Coturnix japonica: one gene and its partner. The protein of the gene in region 1 interacts with the protein of each later gene in a pairwise test. Links are inferred from orthologs where the notes say so. Each region holds a gene or a part of one and is shown in the gene's direction. Other genes may lie near its edges.

What was found.
Region 2: the proteins of XRN2 (region 1) and TARDBP interact in binary tests that used the Homo sapiens proteins (3 or more experiments, as listed by UniProt). The link is inferred for Coturnix japonica from reciprocal best matches to the Homo sapiens genes XRN2 and TARDBP.

Annotation. Positions count from the first base shown.
Region 1 is NC_029518.1:4,193,094-4,196,907, forward strand, and holds part of XRN2 (5'-3' exoribonuclease 2), read left to right. Parts: intron 1-57; coding exon 58-169; intron 170-1,167; coding exon 1,168-1,226; intron 1,227-1,304; coding exon 1,305-1,394; intron 1,395-1,865; coding exon 1,866-1,938; intron 1,939-2,027; coding exon 2,028-2,078; intron 2,079-2,390; coding exon 2,391-2,548; intron 2,549-2,957; coding exon 2,958-3,032; intron 3,033-3,122; coding exon 3,123-3,256; intron 3,257-3,338; coding exon 3,339-3,396; intron 3,397-3,483; coding exon 3,484-3,591; intron 3,592-3,814. UniProt on the Homo sapiens protein: Possesses 5'->3' exoribonuclease activity. May promote the termination of transcription by RNA polymerase II.
Region 2 is NC_029536.1:3,498,533-3,502,988, forward strand, and holds the start of TARDBP (TAR DNA-binding protein 43), read left to right. Parts: upstream 1-1,343; 5' UTR 1,344-1,609; intron 1,610-1,901; 5' UTR 1,902-1,916; coding exon 1,917-2,154; intron 2,155-2,813; coding exon 2,814-2,977; intron 2,978-3,669; coding exon 3,670-3,810; intron 3,811-4,377; coding exon 4,378-4,456. UniProt on the Homo sapiens protein: RNA-binding protein that is involved in various steps of RNA biogenesis and processing.

The DNA of each region.
Region 1 (3,814 bases):
GATGGTTGGACTAGATGATCTTGTAGGTCCTTTCCAACCTTGTGATTCTGTGATTAGGCTCCACGTGCAAAAATGAACCAGCAGCGGTCAAGAAGATTCAGAGCATCGAAGGAGGGCATGGAAGCTGCTGAAGAGAAGCAAAAAATAAGACAAGAAATTCTGGCAAAAGGTAAAGCTGTGGCCATACCTGATGTTGTTTTTCAAGTGAGAATTGCCTTTTATGTTTTTATTGTTTCAGTAAGGGTTAGAAAAGGGATGTTGTGCTCTCAAATATCTTTGTAAATTACAGAGAGGGAGGGTGTAGTGGATCTTTTTTCTCCCCTAAGTTAAGATCCAAGATAAAATGTCACTTTTGTTTTCTGTCTTCCTGCCTGAAATGGATTTGTGTTCTTTTAATTCCTTCAGGAAGAAAGTGAACAGAAGAACAGGGATAAACATAGTTTTGCTTAGCCTCCCACTACTATTACAGAAAGGAATGAATGTTTCTGGGTCCTAACAAAAAGTTAGTTGAGGCTTAGCAATGGAAATCGTGTGAAGGTGTTGCTGCACAGGAATAAGGAATATACTGCAAGCAAGGGTAGGTACTTAGATTGGAAATTTAAACTCAGGAACAGGGCGACCTCAGTGCAGTCTGAGAGTGACAGTAATATGACTCGAGTGAAAGCAGTGTTTGTAGCTGAAGAATGCTGAGTGTGCTGGAGGAATTACTTCTTCCTGCACAGTCACCTGAATTAATGTGGCCTTCCAAATGGAGGCATAGCCTTGTTAGAGGTTAAAAAGGCAGGGCATGCTTTTTTTGTTGCATTTCAAGACTATGGAGACTCTTCATGAAGTTCAGAGAGAAGTTGTTAGAGTAACTTTGTTTGGGAGCTCAAGTGAACAAGTAGTGGAAACATAGAGAACAATACAAGAACTATTTCCTAATGTTTTATCTCATTTAGCAAGTTTAGTTTCTTTGAGGCTTCTTCTAATTTCTGGCAAAGCAGGTAGTGAAATTACTGCTCTGAAGCAATAAACAACATTTCTAAGAGTACCAGTACCTAATTTTAGGATGAAAGTAATGTAATGTTAATTGCTATCAGGGTAGCCATCAGGGTGTTTGTCATGCAAAAGTACTTCTAATGTTCCATATTGATTTACTCATGTTAAATGTCTTTAACACTCTAGGTGGCATTCTTCCTCCGGAAGAAGTGAAGGAAAGATTTGACAGCAACTGTATTACCCCAGTAAGTGATCTTGCCCTTAACCACCAATTGTCAGTATCTGGATGATGGCTTAATTTCTTTTCATCTTTCCGTTTTTAGGGAACTGAGTTTATGGACAATCTTGCCAAATGTCTCCGCTATTACATCGCTGACCGTTTGAACAATGACCCAGGGTGGAAAAATTTGACGGTAAGTTTCACAGTTTGATACATGCATTGTTTTTATTATCTGAATGATGCACAATAGATGTCAGTCAATAAAAATTATTCATAGCAGCTTTCATGCTTTTCTTGACTTTGAGATTCTCTTATGCTGCTACTCAACCACTCCACTCCCATCAAGTTCTGTTTCTTATAGCCCTGTGTTTCATCAGTTGTCTGTATAATGTATCAGGAAGCTAATGATATGATAATTGCAGTGTATTTGAATCAATATGTCAGCTTGATCCTGAAAATTAGAGAAAAATTAAGGTCTGCTCAGAGGACCCAAACTCTTAAATAATCGATTTTTGAGACATAATATGAGACTTGACACTGCAAATTAGGATTTCATATACTGAATGTGACTTAAGAATACTTGAACTACCTACTGTTGGTGGGATTTTTGTTTTTTTTAAGGCTGGCAGCACAAATTGATCACCTAATCTGTACATCTTCTTAGGTAATCCTGTCTGATGCTAGTGCTCCTGGTGAAGGTGAACATAAAATCATGGATTACATTAGAAGACAAAGAGGTATACTTGTAACAGGCTGCGGTATGACATTTATTTCTCACCTGTTTTGCATTTATTGAACCAAAGCTGTGTGATTTTCTTTCATGTAGCTCAACCAAACCATGACCCAAACACTCATCATTGTCTGTGTGGGGCTGATGGTGAGTTCTTTGCTGACAGTATATCTCGCGTTAAACTTTCTTGTGCTGTTTTTCGACTGTGTTCAGCTGTAGCATTTAGAATTTGGTTTGCATTTGTATAAATAATCCAGTGTATCTGCTTTTGACGGCTGCTGTCTGTGGCTGAAGGGCTGACTTTCACTTAGTTGTACTGTCTGGGTAGTTTGTGGGTGAGCCCATAGTTGTGGTCATGCTTGCTTAAAGCACAATGAACGTGGCTTTATAGTTGTTTGTTTGAAGAAAGTGCTTAATGCTATCTCTCATTAGATTTTCTTCTTCTCTTTTGATTGGTAGCTGATCTAATAATGCTTGGATTAGCCACTCATGAGCCACATTTCACCATCATTAGGGAAGAGTTTAAACCAAATAAACCCAAGCCATGTGCTCTTTGTAACCAGATGGGTCACGAGGTTAAGGATTGTCAAGGTTTGCCTAGAGAAAAACAAGGCAAGGTAAGAATCCTGATCTTTCTACAAATTCTTCTCAGTGTGAACTAATTTGTGTCTTAATGATATCCTCACATTATTCTTGCTGTCAGTTTTGTCTGAAGCGTAATACAAATTATGCTACTGGAATTGCCTGGCTTTTGTTTTATATTAATAAAATGATACTTCTGTAGCATATAAATACTATGTGGAATCTAACTTTCTCACTTATTAGTTTTCTTTCTTTTTCCCACTGGCAAGGGAGGATAATCATTAACTTAAGACACACAAAGTAGTGAAATACATGCTTGGCATAAAGAACTTGAGGACCAGTGCTTGTGTATCTCTTAGCTCTTTTCCAAGTATGCTTTAAAATGGAGCAGGATAAACTTAAAAGCGAGCTTGGATACAATTCAGTTATTTCTTTTCATTTTAGCACGATCAGTTTGCAGACAGTCTTCCTGCCTCTGAACAAGAATTTATCTTCATCCGCTTATGTGTTTTGCGAGAGGTATGTTGAAGCAGTTAATAAATCCTACATATATGAGTAATATTAAACTTTGTTGACAATGGTTCTTGGTGTCTTTTGCCTGTGTTGCAGTATTTAGAAAGAGAACTCACTATGGCCAGTTTACCTTTCACTTTTGATTTTGAAAGAAGTGTTGATGACTGGGTCTTTATGTGCTTCTTTGTTGGAAATGACTTTCTTCCTCATCTGCCATCTCTGGAGATCAGGTATGTGAGAATATACTTTCCTTCAAGTATACCTCCTGTAGCTTTAAATGACAAGTCTCATGCTTTTGTGTTTGCTTTCTAGGGAGGGAGCAATTGATCGCTTGGTAAACATATATAAAAACGTGGTGCACAAAACTGGGGTAATGTTTTTTTGTTCTTTTTAAAGATCTCTTTGTTTGCTACCAATGTAGATTTGTTTTTCAACCACATTACGTTGTGTTTTACAGGGCTATCTCACAGAAAGTGGTTTTGTCAACCTGCAGCGAGTCCAGATGATCATGTTGGCTGTTGGAGAAGTTGAAGATAGTATATTCAAAAAGCGAAAAGACGATGATGTAAATTCCGTGTTTTGTTCTTGGAATTTTGTTTTCATCACTTCTGTTACTGTGATAATCCTTAATAGGATATGAGGGGGGGAAAATCCACATTTATATCTTGTTAATATCTGCAGCGGCTTTGTCCATGGTTGAAAATTAGCCAAGTGCTTCCAGTTGATTTGCTTTTCCTAGTAGAGCAGGGTGTTTTTTTCTGGTTGCTATCTCAAGTAGCAACAAAACA
Region 2 (4,456 bases), on another chromosome or scaffold:
CTGCACCCATGGGCACTGTGAATTGCCAGCGTGAGACAACTGGTGTATTAACTAGCTGCTGGCCCGCTGGTGTAGTTACTTCAAGGGCAACACTGTTGTTATCTGCTTAACTTAAATCGAACAGTCATGCAAAATAACAGTAGGAAAATGCTGCAAGAATCCCAGCTTTTACAGAAAAAAGATAGTTACATTTGCTCACTGCCCTCCCCTGGCTCTTACCTGCACAAATCTAGCACAGGGTTGATGTTTACTCTGCTCATTAATAAAACTAGCAGCAGATGCTTTGTCAGATAGAGGTCACTTTGGCTGAATGCCACGGCAACCTCTTCAAATAGCGTTGATTGCTAAACTATAGCTTTGACTTGGAATGGTGCAGTAGGTAATGTTGACATGCTGCAATTACCGCTCAGTCCTCACGGCGTGTTCAGACAACACCGACTACCTCCGTGCTGACTTGGCAACACCAGAACTGGGTTTGGGACGTGTCTTGTGGATGGCTGGAAAATGTAGGAATTTCAAGAGAACGCCTACATGGAGCATTAGCTTATCTCGTCAGCTTGTGTCTTGTCAGCTGCTCTCAGAACTCTGTTGGAAAATGGTAATTAAATGATAAGGCTGAGTCTAAAGCTACCGGGGCACAGATGGGCCAAGTTTCAGTGGTGCCAGAGCCAAGTTTTGCAGTTGTAAGTTTTAAGTGGGAGCTTTAAATACTCAGCAATTCTCTGTGTCGATGCAAGGAACTGGATTGGCCCTACCTAGCAGGAGTCACCTACCTTTACTAACAAGATTGCTTCTTTTTGTTCTTTTTAAGGACAGTGGTACAAGGGGAGTCAATCTGGGTGTGAGCACAGCCTGTGTGTGATCAGAGGCACCAAGAACAGGTGAGATGGGAGCTGTAAGGTGCTGCTTTCCTTACTACAGCACAGCACAGTGCTGTATTGTATTGTATTGTACAATTGTATTGTATTGCTGATTGAGCCACCCTTATCTGGCTGCCCACACACAGCTCAGCACAGACACTGTCCTGCGTGGGGTTCTTACCTTATGGAGCCAGAGCAACAGCAGCAACAACACGAGTGTCCATTAGTTATCATGGCCTGGGACTCAGGAGATCACTATGCAGCATATGGAGGCTTAACTTCCCATTAACTAAATAGAAACTGGGCTTAGGAAGAACTAAACAGCAAGCAGTGTTACAACAGCGAGCATCACCTGCTCTAAACAGCTCCAAACCGCCCCGACCCGACCCGCACCGCCATGACGGACACCGCCACCTGAGGGAGGCGCACAGGGCGGGAACGCCTCACGCCGCTCCCGGCAGCCCCCGCGTGGCTCGGCCCGAACCACGGCCCATTGCGGGGTAACGGCACGCACAGCCCGGCTCCGGTTCTGTCGGCCCGTGCCATTCCGGGACGTCGGGCTGCAGCTCCTGTTCGTCTCGCAGGAGCCGCGCCTCGATCCCGGCTCCCTCCCGCTGCCGGCCGACACGCCCCGATCTTCCCCTCCGCCTCACAGTGGTTCGCCCCGCCGCCCGGCCGCCATTTTGTGCGGCGCGTTGGAGGCGCTGAGGGCTGAGGACGCGGCGCTGCATTCCCGCCCGGTGAGACGGGTAGGAGCGGGGCGGCCGGGGCTGGGAATGAGGGCGGCGGGGATCGGGCTGTGAGCTCTGAGCTCCGAGCTGTGAGCTGTGAGCCCTGAGCTGTCCCGTGGGCTGTTCTGCACTTCCCGGCCCTGTGGGGGCTCTGAGCCCGGTGTTGCCGCTGCGGGGCCTGCGCCGCTCGGGGCGGGGCGAGGCGGGTCGTGCCCTGCCGTTGTGCCGCTCGGTGCCGCTCTGTGCCCCGCTGGGCCCGAGGCGCGTTGTTGGGGCTGTTATTGATGCGTGTTTCTCTCTCACGCTTCAGTGACTTGCAGCGAACATGTCGGAGTACATCCGGGTCACGGAGGACGAGAACGATGAGCCCATCGAGATCCCGTCGGAGGATGACGGCACCGTGCTGCTCTCCACCGTCACGGCGCAGTTCCCCGGGGCCTGTGGGCTGCGTTACCGCAACCCGGTATCGCAATGTATGCGGGGCGTGCGGCTGGTGGAGGGCATCCTGCACGCACCTGAGGCCGGCTGGGGAAACCTGGTCTATGTCGTGAACTACCCCAAAGGTTCGTGCTGTGCCTTTGTGTTTCCATATGAGTGCGCTTTGTAGTCCAGAGATCGATGTGTGTGACAGCAATTGACTTGTGTTCATCCTGCAGGTGAAGTTGAGCCCGCTGGGTTTTCAGATGCACTCAGAGCTTCAATTCTTTAGCTGCAGAAGGGCTTAGATGACAGTTTTATGTTGTGCTTGGGAGAGTTGCAGCCTCATTAGAACTTGTAAAGATGCTGGTGCTGTGTGTACTCACAGACACTTCTCTTCAAGCCGTGCTTTGGTCACAGCTACGTGAGACAAATCCAACCAAAAGCACTCCAAAATAATTAGAAATAGCCTTCTCATTAAATATCGTTGTCAAAAACCCATCTTGTTCCCATCCTCAGTAAACATTACTGGGTGGTCCTTGAGTAAACTAACACAAAACTAACTCAGAATGCATTGATAGGAGGACTTGGTCATTTATAGGAGGACTTGGTAGGTCGTTCTTTCTTCACGCTTGCAGACAGTTGGCTGTGGGTTGTAATGATAACCTCCAACAGCTGCCATGTGTTCTTCCGCTGTCTGCACTTCCTCTTAGTGTTGTCTGGTTTTATACCGCGCTGTTCAAGATTAGTGGAAGGGGTTTCTAAAGTTAGGAGGATGATTTCTAACGTACATCGTTATATTCAGATAATAAGAGAAAAATGGATGAAACAGATGCATCTTCAGCCGTGAAGGTAAAACGAGCAGTACAGAAGACTTCGGACTTGATAGTCCTAGGTTTACCTTGGAAAACCACAGAACAAGACTTAAAGGAATACTTCAGTACATTTGGAGAAGTCCTCATGGTGCAGGTAAAATACTTTTTGAGTATGGAAAGATGTTAAGTAGAAATCAGGGTTCTGATGATAGAAAGTAGAAAGGAGCAGATCTGAAGCTGTGTGCCTTAGAGCTTTGTAGTGTGGGTACAGATGGGAATATTTGGGAGTGGTAATCCACGCAGATCTGCCTAATGGGTACAATGTATTAACAGCTCTTTAGTTTATGTTGCTGATTGTCACAGCTGAGTATATGTCTTATTTTTCAGGCTTTAAAACAAAGCTTTACTAAATTAATTCAGGAACAGCATGTTGCATGCTCTAGGTTACCTCTGTCACCACTGCCTGGCTCTGTCCTGCATGCAGCTGTGTGTGCTTGCATTGTTTATATAGCAGGTCTGGCCGTGTCATTACAGTGTTACAAAGTAATTATACCCTGATGCTGATCCTGCTGTTTTAGTAACTAATACTGGGGCTCAAAGCAGTCAGAATGCATTAAATTTGTAGGTGTCAGAAGCTTGTGCTGTGACTGCATAATAGCAGGGTTAGTATCATAGGAAAAGGTAGTTGTATACAAGGGGGGTAATCAGAGATCTGGCTGTATCCTTTCTGGTGATGATATCAAGATTGATACAGAAGATGATAGGTAAATAGCATGCCATTAATGTCACCAACACAAGCACGGTGCTACTGTGTTCTGTTTTAAAGTCCGCTCTTTTTTATCCTAGGTTAAAAAGGATATTAAGACTGGTCACTCAAAGGGTTTCGGTTTTGTTCGTTTTACGGATTATGAAACCCAGGTTAAGGTCATGTCCCAGCGACACATGATAGATGGCAGATGGTGTGACTGTAAACTTCCCAACTCTAAGGTACTTTCATATTTATGACTACCTTTGTTTTGCCTAACATTCACAACTTCACTTCTATAGCCACTGTGCGAAGTGAGCAGATGAACACGTTAATAAAAGCCCTATTCGTGGTTTTGGAGTCTGAGTAAACAGGATAAAGAAAATAGAGGAGGTGGGTGAACAGGAAGTGAATGAGACGTGTTGGGGATATAGCTAGTTATATCTGCACTCAGTTTTCCAATATGAAGTACAAAATAATGTGTTATTAACATCCAGCAGTTTGTTATTTATCATGCCTGCCACATGAAACTATGGAATATCAGAATGAGTCTGTTCTGATCATGCGGATATGCAGTTAAATGTGCAGCACAGTGACGTGTCCTGCACTGGCCTTGTCACTGCCCATAACTGACTACCTTTATTTCCCTGTTCCCATCTGTACCGAGTTGCACACGTGCTCTCTGAACAGAGTTTCAGAAGTCTGAAGCTTACAAATTAAAACTTCCTTATCTTCAGTCTTCTGAACGGTTGGTCTTCATGTTGAAGTTTCCATTCATTAATTATACTTCTCTCTCCACTTCCCTTCAGCAAAGTCCCGACGAGCCTTTGCGGAGCAGAAAAGTGTTTGTTGGGCGCTGCACTGAGGACATGACAGCAGATGAACTCC